2 linked regions of the Arabidopsis thaliana genome follow. The protein of the gene in region 1 purifies or fractionates together with the protein of each later gene. This does not show direct contact. Each region holds a gene or a part of one and is shown in the gene's direction. Other genes may lie near its edges.

What was found.
Region 2: the proteins of HXK1 (region 1) and AT3G11280 purify together in Arabidopsis thaliana (affinity purification with mass spectrometry, with the first as the bait; one study listed by BioGRID). This does not show direct contact.

What each region holds. Positions count from the first base shown.
Region 1 is NC_003075.7:14,351,529-14,357,064, reverse strand, and holds HXK1 (hexokinase 1), read left to right. Parts: upstream 1-1,863; 5' UTR 1,864-2,199; coding exon 2,200-2,471; intron 2,472-3,096; coding exon 3,097-3,247; intron 3,248-3,335; coding exon 3,336-3,518; intron 3,519-3,603; coding exon 3,604-3,678; intron 3,679-3,757; coding exon 3,758-4,012; intron 4,013-4,106; coding exon 4,107-4,237; intron 4,238-4,303; coding exon 4,304-4,727; 3' UTR 4,728-5,028; downstream 5,029-5,536. Other genes in the region: AT4G29120 (6-phosphogluconate dehydrogenase family protein), read right to left, coding at 5,200-5,536. UniProt on the Arabidopsis thaliana protein: Fructose and glucose phosphorylating enzyme. May be involved in the phosphorylation of glucose during the export from mitochondrion to cytosol. Acts as a sugar sensor which may regulate sugar-dependent gene repression or activation.
Region 2 is NC_003074.8:3,532,658-3,536,915, reverse strand, and holds AT3G11280 (Duplicated homeodomain-like superfamily protein), read left to right. Parts: upstream 1-1,921; 5' UTR 1,922-2,294; exon of another isoform or gene 2,295-2,520; 5' UTR 2,521-2,522; coding exon 2,523-2,926; intron 2,927-3,051; coding exon 3,052-3,439; 3' UTR 3,440-3,705; downstream 3,706-4,258. Other genes in the region: AT3G11290 (Myb/SANT-like DNA-binding domain protein), read left to right, coding at 1-484, 557-1,150.

The sequences.
Region 1 (5,536 bases):
GATAGCAATGCCAATAATGTTATGTAACCATATATACTGGAGTATTTGTTTTGAGTAATATTAAAGATAATTATGTTCAGCGGAAAAAAACTAATGTAATTAACTAAAATCAGATAATTGTTAATGATGAAAATAAGATCTGGATAAGATTTTGAGGGGTCGACATCATTAGTCTCCTCTAATTGTTGTTCGAAAATTAATGCTCAACTTTTAATGTATGTACTAATTGATTATAAACATTATATTAGTGTTTGAAATCACCTTAAATCGATAGATAGAAAAATCATTAAAGTTTTTTCACGTCTAGCATTTATCAACAACACACATCTGCAACATTTTAGCCGCTCCACAATGTAGTCCGTTCCGGTTTTTATACATGGTTCCGGTTTCATCCAAATTTTTACAGTTATTAATAGTTTATGAATACTTGAACAAAATTAAACTATAGTAAAAAAAAAAAAAAGTTTCTCTAAGATTTTGCTATTGTTCGATTAACTTTTCCACTCTGATTCTTTGGATTGGGTTCTTAACAGAAAAACAAATACGTGATGGTAATCCTCTCTCAGTTTTTACCATCGGAAAATGAATTTTTATGATGTCGTCAAATATCGAACATGCGGTAATAATCAGAGACATGCATTGCTATTAGTATTTCGTTTCCCCACCTATATTTTGGTCAAAAGCAAACGTGTGGGGGTATACATACCTTTTCTTTCATGTAATGATACATGCTTTTTATTTGTATATAAATATAATTATATTATATGATATCTAGAGTATCTAAATTTATTCAGTGATCTTCTTAATCAAAGGTTAATCATATCAAAACAACATTAGTGAACTGGATTGGGACCACTAATGAGTTGAAATAAGTTACCAGCTATTTCTTCTAATATCTGATAAATACTACTATTAGTCATAAGAACAACAATTAGAATTAATAATATTCGTAACCATAATTGAGAGTTGACTTGTAAAGAAAAAAAAAAGTTATCTGATGTACTCAGGAACTATTGCAAAAATACTATAAGAGCACAATTTAAAGATTGATTAGATTTTTTAAAAATGAGATAATGGAGAATCTAATGATGCAGAAATTGTTGTTCCCACACGGACATACAATATGATAGTGTATTACTTTTTTGATTATAATCCGTTGGAAGAAGATTTTATCAAAACATCAAAAATTTAAGACTTGTAAGACCTCTAAGAAAATAATTTAATATCATTGTTCAACATGTATATAGTGTAAGTACTAAGTACACCCTGTAACCCTATTAGTAATCTTGACTACCTTTTTTTAATAGCAAATTTGGTTGTAAATTTGCTATATTAATAATGGGCTTGGTATAGATTTTATTTTAGAAGGTCCATTACTTTCAATTGGAGTAAATGAACCGACTTTAAAGACTTTTAACTCAGGCCTTAATGTTACACAATAGAATAACATTATGACCCGGCCCAAATAAGTCGTCAGATCCAGTAAGCGTGCGACCAAACTATTTGTTTCTTACCATCGATATAAACTTTAATGATTTTATACAAATTGAATAACATATTTATACAAATTGAATAATGATATGGATAATCCCTTTTATCTAAACAAAAAGAAGTGGATAATCCACATCATATTTGTCTGTAAATTATTTGTTTTAGTTATCTACTGATAAAAACATTGTTTATCTATATTATTTTATATTATGTAGAGCCATTATCTCTTACGATTGAGCATTTTTAATCTTCTGACAGAAAAAATGCTAAGAATTAAAAGGACAAAGAAAAAAGAATGTGCAATTATCATGTGGTTGATTAGAGGTTTGAGAATGATTGGTGCTACCAGAAACTTAGGTGGAGAAAAGGATAAAAACCGAAATTAGACAAAAGGTTAATTTCGTCATTTCAACAGATTCTATTACCACTTCTTGTTTTGTTTTTCCATACTTTACGGACAAGAACGAGAGAAGCTCTCGCTTACGTGGTTTCTACACTGTTTTTGACGAACCCACCAAGCTCGAGTAGATCGGTATTAGATCCATCTTAGGTTTCTCTAATTTCTCTCAATTCACTCCAAAATTTTGATTATTTCTTCTTTCTGGCTTGTCAATTTTAGTCATTTGTAATCCTTGCTTTTGCGATCGGAATCGTAAAAATCCGATCTTTCTTTTAGATTCGTTTTGTTTTTGATTCCAAATCGGAAAAATGGGTAAAGTAGCTGTTGGAGCGACTGTTGTTTGCACGGCGGCGGTTTGTGCGGTGGCTGTTTTGGTTGTTCGACGACGGATGCAGAGCTCAGGGAAGTGGGGACGTGTTTTGGCTATCCTCAAGGCCTTTGAAGAGGATTGTGCGACTCCGATCTCGAAACTGAGACAAGTGGCTGATGCTATGACCGTTGAGATGCATGCTGGTCTTGCATCCGACGGTGGTAGCAAACTCAAGATGCTTATCAGCTACGTTGATAATCTTCCTTCCGGGTAATGTTTTCTAATTGGATTCAAATTCTGTTGCTTTTCATTGAAATTTTCAATCTTTGTCATATTAGAAGATAGAATATTTCTATCTCCTAATATGTCATCCATTCAATGTTGTTGATTGTGTAATATGGATTACGTTATGAAATGAGTTTCGTCCTGATTTGGAGATGTAATTGCATTGTCTCTTAATGGTCAAAATTGATCGATTAGATAGGATTATTGATCTACTGTTTCAGAATCAGTGAATCTTTTGGAATCCAGATCATGTCCCACTGAATCATTGTCTCATTTTCTTATAGGTTTTGTTGTATCACTTCTTGATTTTGTAGATTTGTTTTCATGGATTTGAGAGTTATTGCCCTTTTGATTAAGGTTTAATACATAGTTACATTAAGGCAGACAATGACAGTGATGTGAATATGATTTGTCTGAAAAGTCTGTCCACAGACATCACTTTTGTCTTATGGACTTCGTGATTAGATGGCATGATGGCATTGATTATGTTATATTACGTAGAACATTTTGGTGCGGTTTCATTTTCGCTTTAATATTGTTAGCCAATGCGGCAATGCGTCTAGTTTCATGTTGTAGGTCTGTCTTACATTTACTACCATTAATATAACAGGGATGAAAAGGGTCTCTTTTATGCATTGGACCTAGGGGGGACAAACTTCCGTGTCATGCGTGTGCTTCTTGGCGGGAAGCAAGAGCGTGTTGTTAAACAAGAATTCGAAGAAGTTTCGATTCCTCCTCATTTGATGACTGGTGGTTCAGATGTCAGTTTTCTGTTCTTCAATTTGTCATGTTTAGTCTTAGATGATCTTTGTGTAACAAGATTCTTTTGCGTTCTTTTGATGGATTCAGGAGTTGTTCAATTTTATAGCTGAAGCTCTTGCGAAGTTTGTCGCTACAGAATGCGAAGACTTTCATCTTCCAGAAGGTAGACAGAGGGAATTAGGTTTCACTTTCTCGTTTCCTGTTAAGCAGACTTCTCTGTCCTCTGGTAGTCTCATCAAATGGACAAAAGGCTTTTCCATCGAAGAAGCAGTTAAGCTCGATTTTCGTTCAACTATTTCACTTAAAATGTTTAGTTTTCGCCTTTGCCTTAATCTTTGTTTAACCTGTTGCATAGGTTGGACAAGATGTTGTTGGAGCACTTAATAAGGCTCTGGAAAGAGTTGGTCTTGACATGCGAATCGCAGCACTTGTGAGTTCTCTTTCGCCTTATGCTCTCTAGTGAATCCCTTTTGTCATGTGTTTGTTGATTTGTTTTTGACGTTTTACAGGTTAATGATACCGTTGGAACACTAGCCGGTGGTAGATACTATAACCCGGATGTTGTTGCTGCTGTTATTTTAGGCACTGGGACAAACGCAGCCTATGTTGAGCGTGCAACCGCGATCCCTAAATGGCATGGTCTGCTTCCAAAATCAGGAGAAATGGTTATAAACATGGAATGGGGAAACTTCAGGTCATCACATCTTCCATTAACCGAGTTTGATCACACGCTGGATTTCGAGAGTCTGAATCCAGGCGAACAGGTACGAGTTTTTAAACCCCGGTTTGTTGTTACAAAATGCCAATACCTACGAGGTGTCTCGAGAATGAGTTTCTATGTGGAATTTCATTTTGCAGATTCTTGAGAAAATCATTTCCGGTATGTACTTGGGAGAGATTTTGCGAAGAGTTCTTCTAAAGATGGCTGAAGATGCTGCTTTCTTTGGCGATACAGTCCCATCTAAGCTGAGAATACCATTCATCATTAGGTACTCTTTACTAAGTTTCATCCTTTGAGGAAGGGCTTTAGTCTAAAGTTCAACAATCATTTGCAGGACTCCTCACATGTCGGCTATGCACAACGACACTTCTCCAGACTTGAAGATTGTTGGGAGCAAGATTAAGGATATATTGGAGGTCCCTACAACTTCTCTGAAAATGAGAAAAGTTGTGATCAGTCTCTGCAACATCATAGCAACCCGAGGAGCTCGTCTCTCTGCTGCTGGAATCTATGGTATTCTGAAGAAACTGGGAAGAGATACTACTAAAGACGAGGAGGTGCAGAAATCGGTTATAGCCATGGATGGTGGATTGTTTGAGCATTACACTCAGTTTAGTGAGTGTATGGAGAGCTCACTAAAAGAGTTGCTTGGAGATGAAGCTTCAGGAAGCGTTGAAGTCACTCACTCCAATGATGGATCAGGCATTGGAGCTGCGCTTCTTGCTGCTTCTCACTCTCTCTACCTTGAAGACTCTTAAAACCTACCCAAAGAGCGCCATTTTTCGGTAATTTACTGAAAGCTTTTCGCTATCAGAAAACGCCTAAGCCAAGTTCTAAGGCGTCATAAAAGAAAGCATTCCATGTTTTTACTCTTCCCCAAGACTTTCTTTGTAGCAAATAAGTTTCCTTGGGAGAAATATTTGTTTTCATGTTCTTCAAAAATAAAAGACTCAGTTCTTCAGATTCTGGGATTTTATTATAACCAGATATGTTGTAAAAACTACAAATTCAAAGCTCACTTCACTGGAGTTCTGAGTATATAAAGATTTCATTTTTCCTCATCATTGAGTACACATAAAACTACTGTGTATGAATCTCATATGCGTACACAAAAGTTTACTTCAAATCATGTTTTACCAACAAATGGGTACACAAAAGATCAAATCTTTACTTCATAACAACATAAAATCTCCAACAGATGCATTATCAGAAAGTGGAACAGAACCTAAATCAAGAGTCAGATGATTGAACAGAGACATTGTTGAGACGTTCAAGAGCCAAGAGAAGAGCTTGAGTACCAAGATCACCTTCACCATGAGCCTTAAGAGACAAGTAAAGCTGTTGAGCAAGAGCTAAACCAGGCAAAGCCAAACCCATCCTCTGACATTCATTCAAACAAATCCCTAAATCTTTCACAAAATGATTCACATAAAAACCAGGATCAAAATCCCTCTTCAGAATCCTATCTCCATACAAATCTATAGACTTAGAACCAGCAGCACCAGTAGAAATCGCTTCAAGAAACTTCTTAACATCAAGTCCAGCTTTATGAGCATAAATCAAACCT
Region 2 (4,258 bases), on another chromosome or scaffold:
GTATCGGTTGAATCCTCCATCGTTCCTCGAGAAACTTGAGCTTATCTTTGAAGATAGTAACTTAGATGATGAAGGTACTTCAGGTAGCAAAAGGAAGCGAATAGCCAAGCATCGTGATGAAGATAATGATAATACTGGAGATGAAGAAGACACGCAAAGCGCTTCTAATTTCTCGAGTCCTCAGTCGAAAGGATACTGGTCACCGTCTTCACATGAGCTGTTTGTTGATTTGTTGTTCCAAGAGGCTTTAAAAGGAAACAGACCTGACTCACATTATCCAAAGGAAACTTGGAAAATGATCCTTGAGACTATCAATCAGAATACCGGTAAAAGCTTCACCAGACCGCAACTCAAGAATCATTGGGATTGCACCAGGAAATCGTGGAAGATCTGGTGTCAAGTGATTGGTGCTCCTGTCATGAAATGGGATGCAACTTCTCGAACATTTGGTGCTACTGATGAAGACTGGAAAAACTACTTGAAGGTATAAACGCTACTCGACTTTTTATATTAGTTGATTAAGTTTGCAGCTTAACATTGGTTCTTTGATTAACAGGAGAATCATAGAGCAGCACCATTCAGAAGGAAACAACTTCCTCACGCGGATAAACTAGCAACCATCTTCAAAGGACTTATAGAACCAGGAAAAGCCTATTTCCGTTCTTATCGCAGGAGAGTGCTTGATCATCATTCCGAATCACCACAGCTACATGACCCAACTCCATTATCAACACTTTACACAAACGAGCCAGTCTCAGGTAGTGAAGGTGGAGCTGATGAAGATGACAATGATGACGATGATGAGCAGCCTACTCCGCAGCACCGGAGATTTAACAGTGTTGGTTTTGCAGAGTCTCGGTTACAAGATGTTGAAATTGTAACTCCGGGATGCCACAGGTTAAAAACTGAGCTGATGAAGGAGAGTCCAGTGAGTGCATCGGTTAGGCAGTACGAGTATACCATTGGGGAATGCATTGAGTGTTTGGACTCCATGGAAGAGGTTGAGCAAGGTAGTGATCTTTACTTGTTTGCGTTGGATTTGTTTGTGAAGAAAGAGTACAGAGAGATTTTCTTGCTGTTGAAGAACTCAAGTTTGAGAATGTCTTGGCTGCTTAGACTTCGATCTGGTGGCCTTACCATTGCTGCCTAAGATCGTCATATTCTCCCAAACTTCTTCTGCTTATGTCTTATTATGCTAAACACTCTTGATTTATCTTTTGAACAGTGTGAGATGTTATATTATTAGGTTCCTTGAAAGATTTTATGACAGTCGAAATATTATAAGAGTTACTGGTTAACTTTTGTCGCAAGAAATTACTCTTGTCTCTATTGCAGATGAGAAATAAACTTCAAAGCATTCGTATCCTATCGTCTATGACTCTATGTAGCCTTCTCTTCTTCAAAATTAACTTAAGTTAAAAAACCTTGTACAGTTTGATTAGTTGATACAACCGATATACTTTTATTTGATTTTCTCTGTTTGCAGAAAGTAATTTAAAACTTATGTGAGCATCACAAGTAAAATGGAGAGATAGTGGGATTTAATGAGCTTTAGCTATTGAATCTGTCACACTTTCTAAAAATATTTTCCACCGACGCATAGATACTAAAACCAATCATCACTTAATTCCAGGTAAGAACTTAATCCTAAACAACCTCCTTAAGGAGACAAAATTAAGATATAAAAAGAGATAAATCGCGCCAGGTAGGGGTCGAACCTACGACCTTCTGCTTAGGAAACAGACGCTCTATCCACTGAGCTACAGGCGCTTTTGATTGTAATTATCAAAACATTATATTTATAACAAAACCATACAGTATGTCTCCGTGTGGACCAGAAAAAAGGCGATAGAACAAATTTGTCGTATTCCAAAGAATTAAATAATAGAATCAAATAGATCAATCAACTTTTTTTTTCTTTCTGAGAAAAATGAACCGCAAGAATCCGAGTGGAGTGGTGCCATTCGCTGTTCTCCAATCCAAATACGCCAAATCTTCCCAAAAATAAAGAAACCTTTCCTTTTCTTTCTCTTCACTCTGTTCCCATATCTACAGTGACTCTTCTCTCTCTGTATATTACTCTTCCTTCACTATCTCTCTCTCTTTACTGGGTCTTCTTCAGCTTCTGAGTCTTCTCCTCTCTCTCTATCTCTCAAGTGGGCTTTGCTTTGCTGTTTTTGTCTTCCTTCGACGACTCACTTTTGCAGATTCTCATAAATTCTTCAAAGCTTTGAGTCTTTTTTCAGATTCGAGGGTCGGTTTTATATATGCTTCAAATCTCTTACCCAAATCAGGTTCTTGATTCCCTCAGTATACGATTCTTCATTTTTCCTTCCCTTTTGTTTTTCTTCTTCTTTGATTCCTACTATATTATCATTAAACCTTATATATAAAAGCTTCCATTATTTCCTTATATCACAAATCTATCTTTTAAGCTTCCTCCACACATAGAGCAAGAAAATGGACTTTTTTGAGCTGTGTTTGTAGTTGAAACTTATTCTTCCCTTTTTTTGTTTTTAGGTATGGAGACTCTGCATCCATTCTCTCACCTACCTATCTCTGACCACCGGTTCGTTGTTCAAGAGATGGTGAGCTTACACAGCTCGAGTAGCGGTAGCTGGACTAAAGAAGAGAACAAGATGTTCGAACGAGCTCTTGCGATATACGCTGAAGACTCGCCTGATCGCTGGTTTAAAGTTGCTTCCATGATCCCTGGAAAGACTGTTTTTGATGTTATGAAGCAATATAGTAAGCTTGAAGAAGACGTTTTCGATATTGAAGCAGGACGTGTTCCCATTCCTGGTTATCCTGCAGCTTCTTCTCCCTTGGGGTTTGACACGGACATGTGTCGTAAACGGCCTAGTGGAGCTAGAGGATCTGATCAAGATCGAAAGAAAGGAGTCCCTTGGACAGAGGAAGAACACAGGTTAAGACACTCTTTCATCTCTACAGAATTCTTTCCATATAAGTCACTCTTCCTAGGTTCCTTGCAACGCAAGTCATCCCCTTTTTTCTTAGGGTTTTCAATGCTCTGTTTCTTGTTCCTTGCAGGAGATTCTTGTTAGGCCTTCTCAAGTACGGTAAAGGAGATTGGAGAAACATATCGAGAAACTTCGTGGTGTCAAAGACGCCAACGCAAGTGGCGAGCCACGCCCAAAAGTATTACCAGAGACAGCTCTCCGGAGCCAAGGACAAACGCAGGCCAAGTATCCATGACATCACAACCGGCAATCTTCTCAATGCCAATCTCAACCGTTCCTTTTCCGATCATAGAGATATTCTCCCTGATTTAGGGTTTATCGATAAGGATGATACGGAGGAGGGAGTAATATTTATGGGTCAGAATCTCTCTTCAGAAAATCTGTTTTCTCCATCACCAACTTCATTCGAAGCTGCCATTAACTTCGCCGGAGAAAATGTCTTCAGTGCCGGAGCTTAAGGCAACATAGAATCCCCAAACTCAGCGTTCTTAAGAATCTGAGTTTTGAAACTGTAATTAGAGAAATATAAGCAAAACCAAGTTTATTATATATGTATTGTGTGGTTTAAAAGTAAGAACTTGTTTTTACTCTGTATTTTTGTGTTTCTGTCTACTAAATACCTGTTATGTTAAAAAAAATCTGTGTTTTCTTTTCGATTAAATTATAGACTTATAGTTGTGAAAAAGAGTACTTGTGCTTTATGACAAGTTGATAACCCTAACAATTTACCACAATATATCTATTTTATGGTGTTAAATGCAAATTATAAAGATATACTGTAATAAAGACTTAAAGAGATTAAAAAAAAAAAAAAGACTCAAAGAGATCAAACACCACACAAAAATGAGAAATTTGTGAAACATGTTTTGGGTTAGATTTATTTAAGAAGATGGCTATAGTATAGTTTTAAATATTGAGTAAAGTTTTGGTGGAAGGTATGAAGAATTGATTTGAGTATAAAATAGAGGCTGAGTCTGCTTTCCACTTCTGACCAAAGAACCTCATTCTTCTCATCTATTACACCAACCTCCTGACTCATATATATATTAACGTATTTAGAATTACGTATAATGGTGTCATTTGTATAAAAAACATATATGAATGAAATGTTTATTTTATTTTTTAATCATTTGGTGCCCCAATCTAAACACTGCTCACATTTGAATTATGCAACTTGAAATAACTTTGATAAATTTATATTGAAACAACTTTGAAATATTATTTATCACAGTTCATATGCAAAGTTGGACCAAAGGCTACACTTAATCAAGCAATAG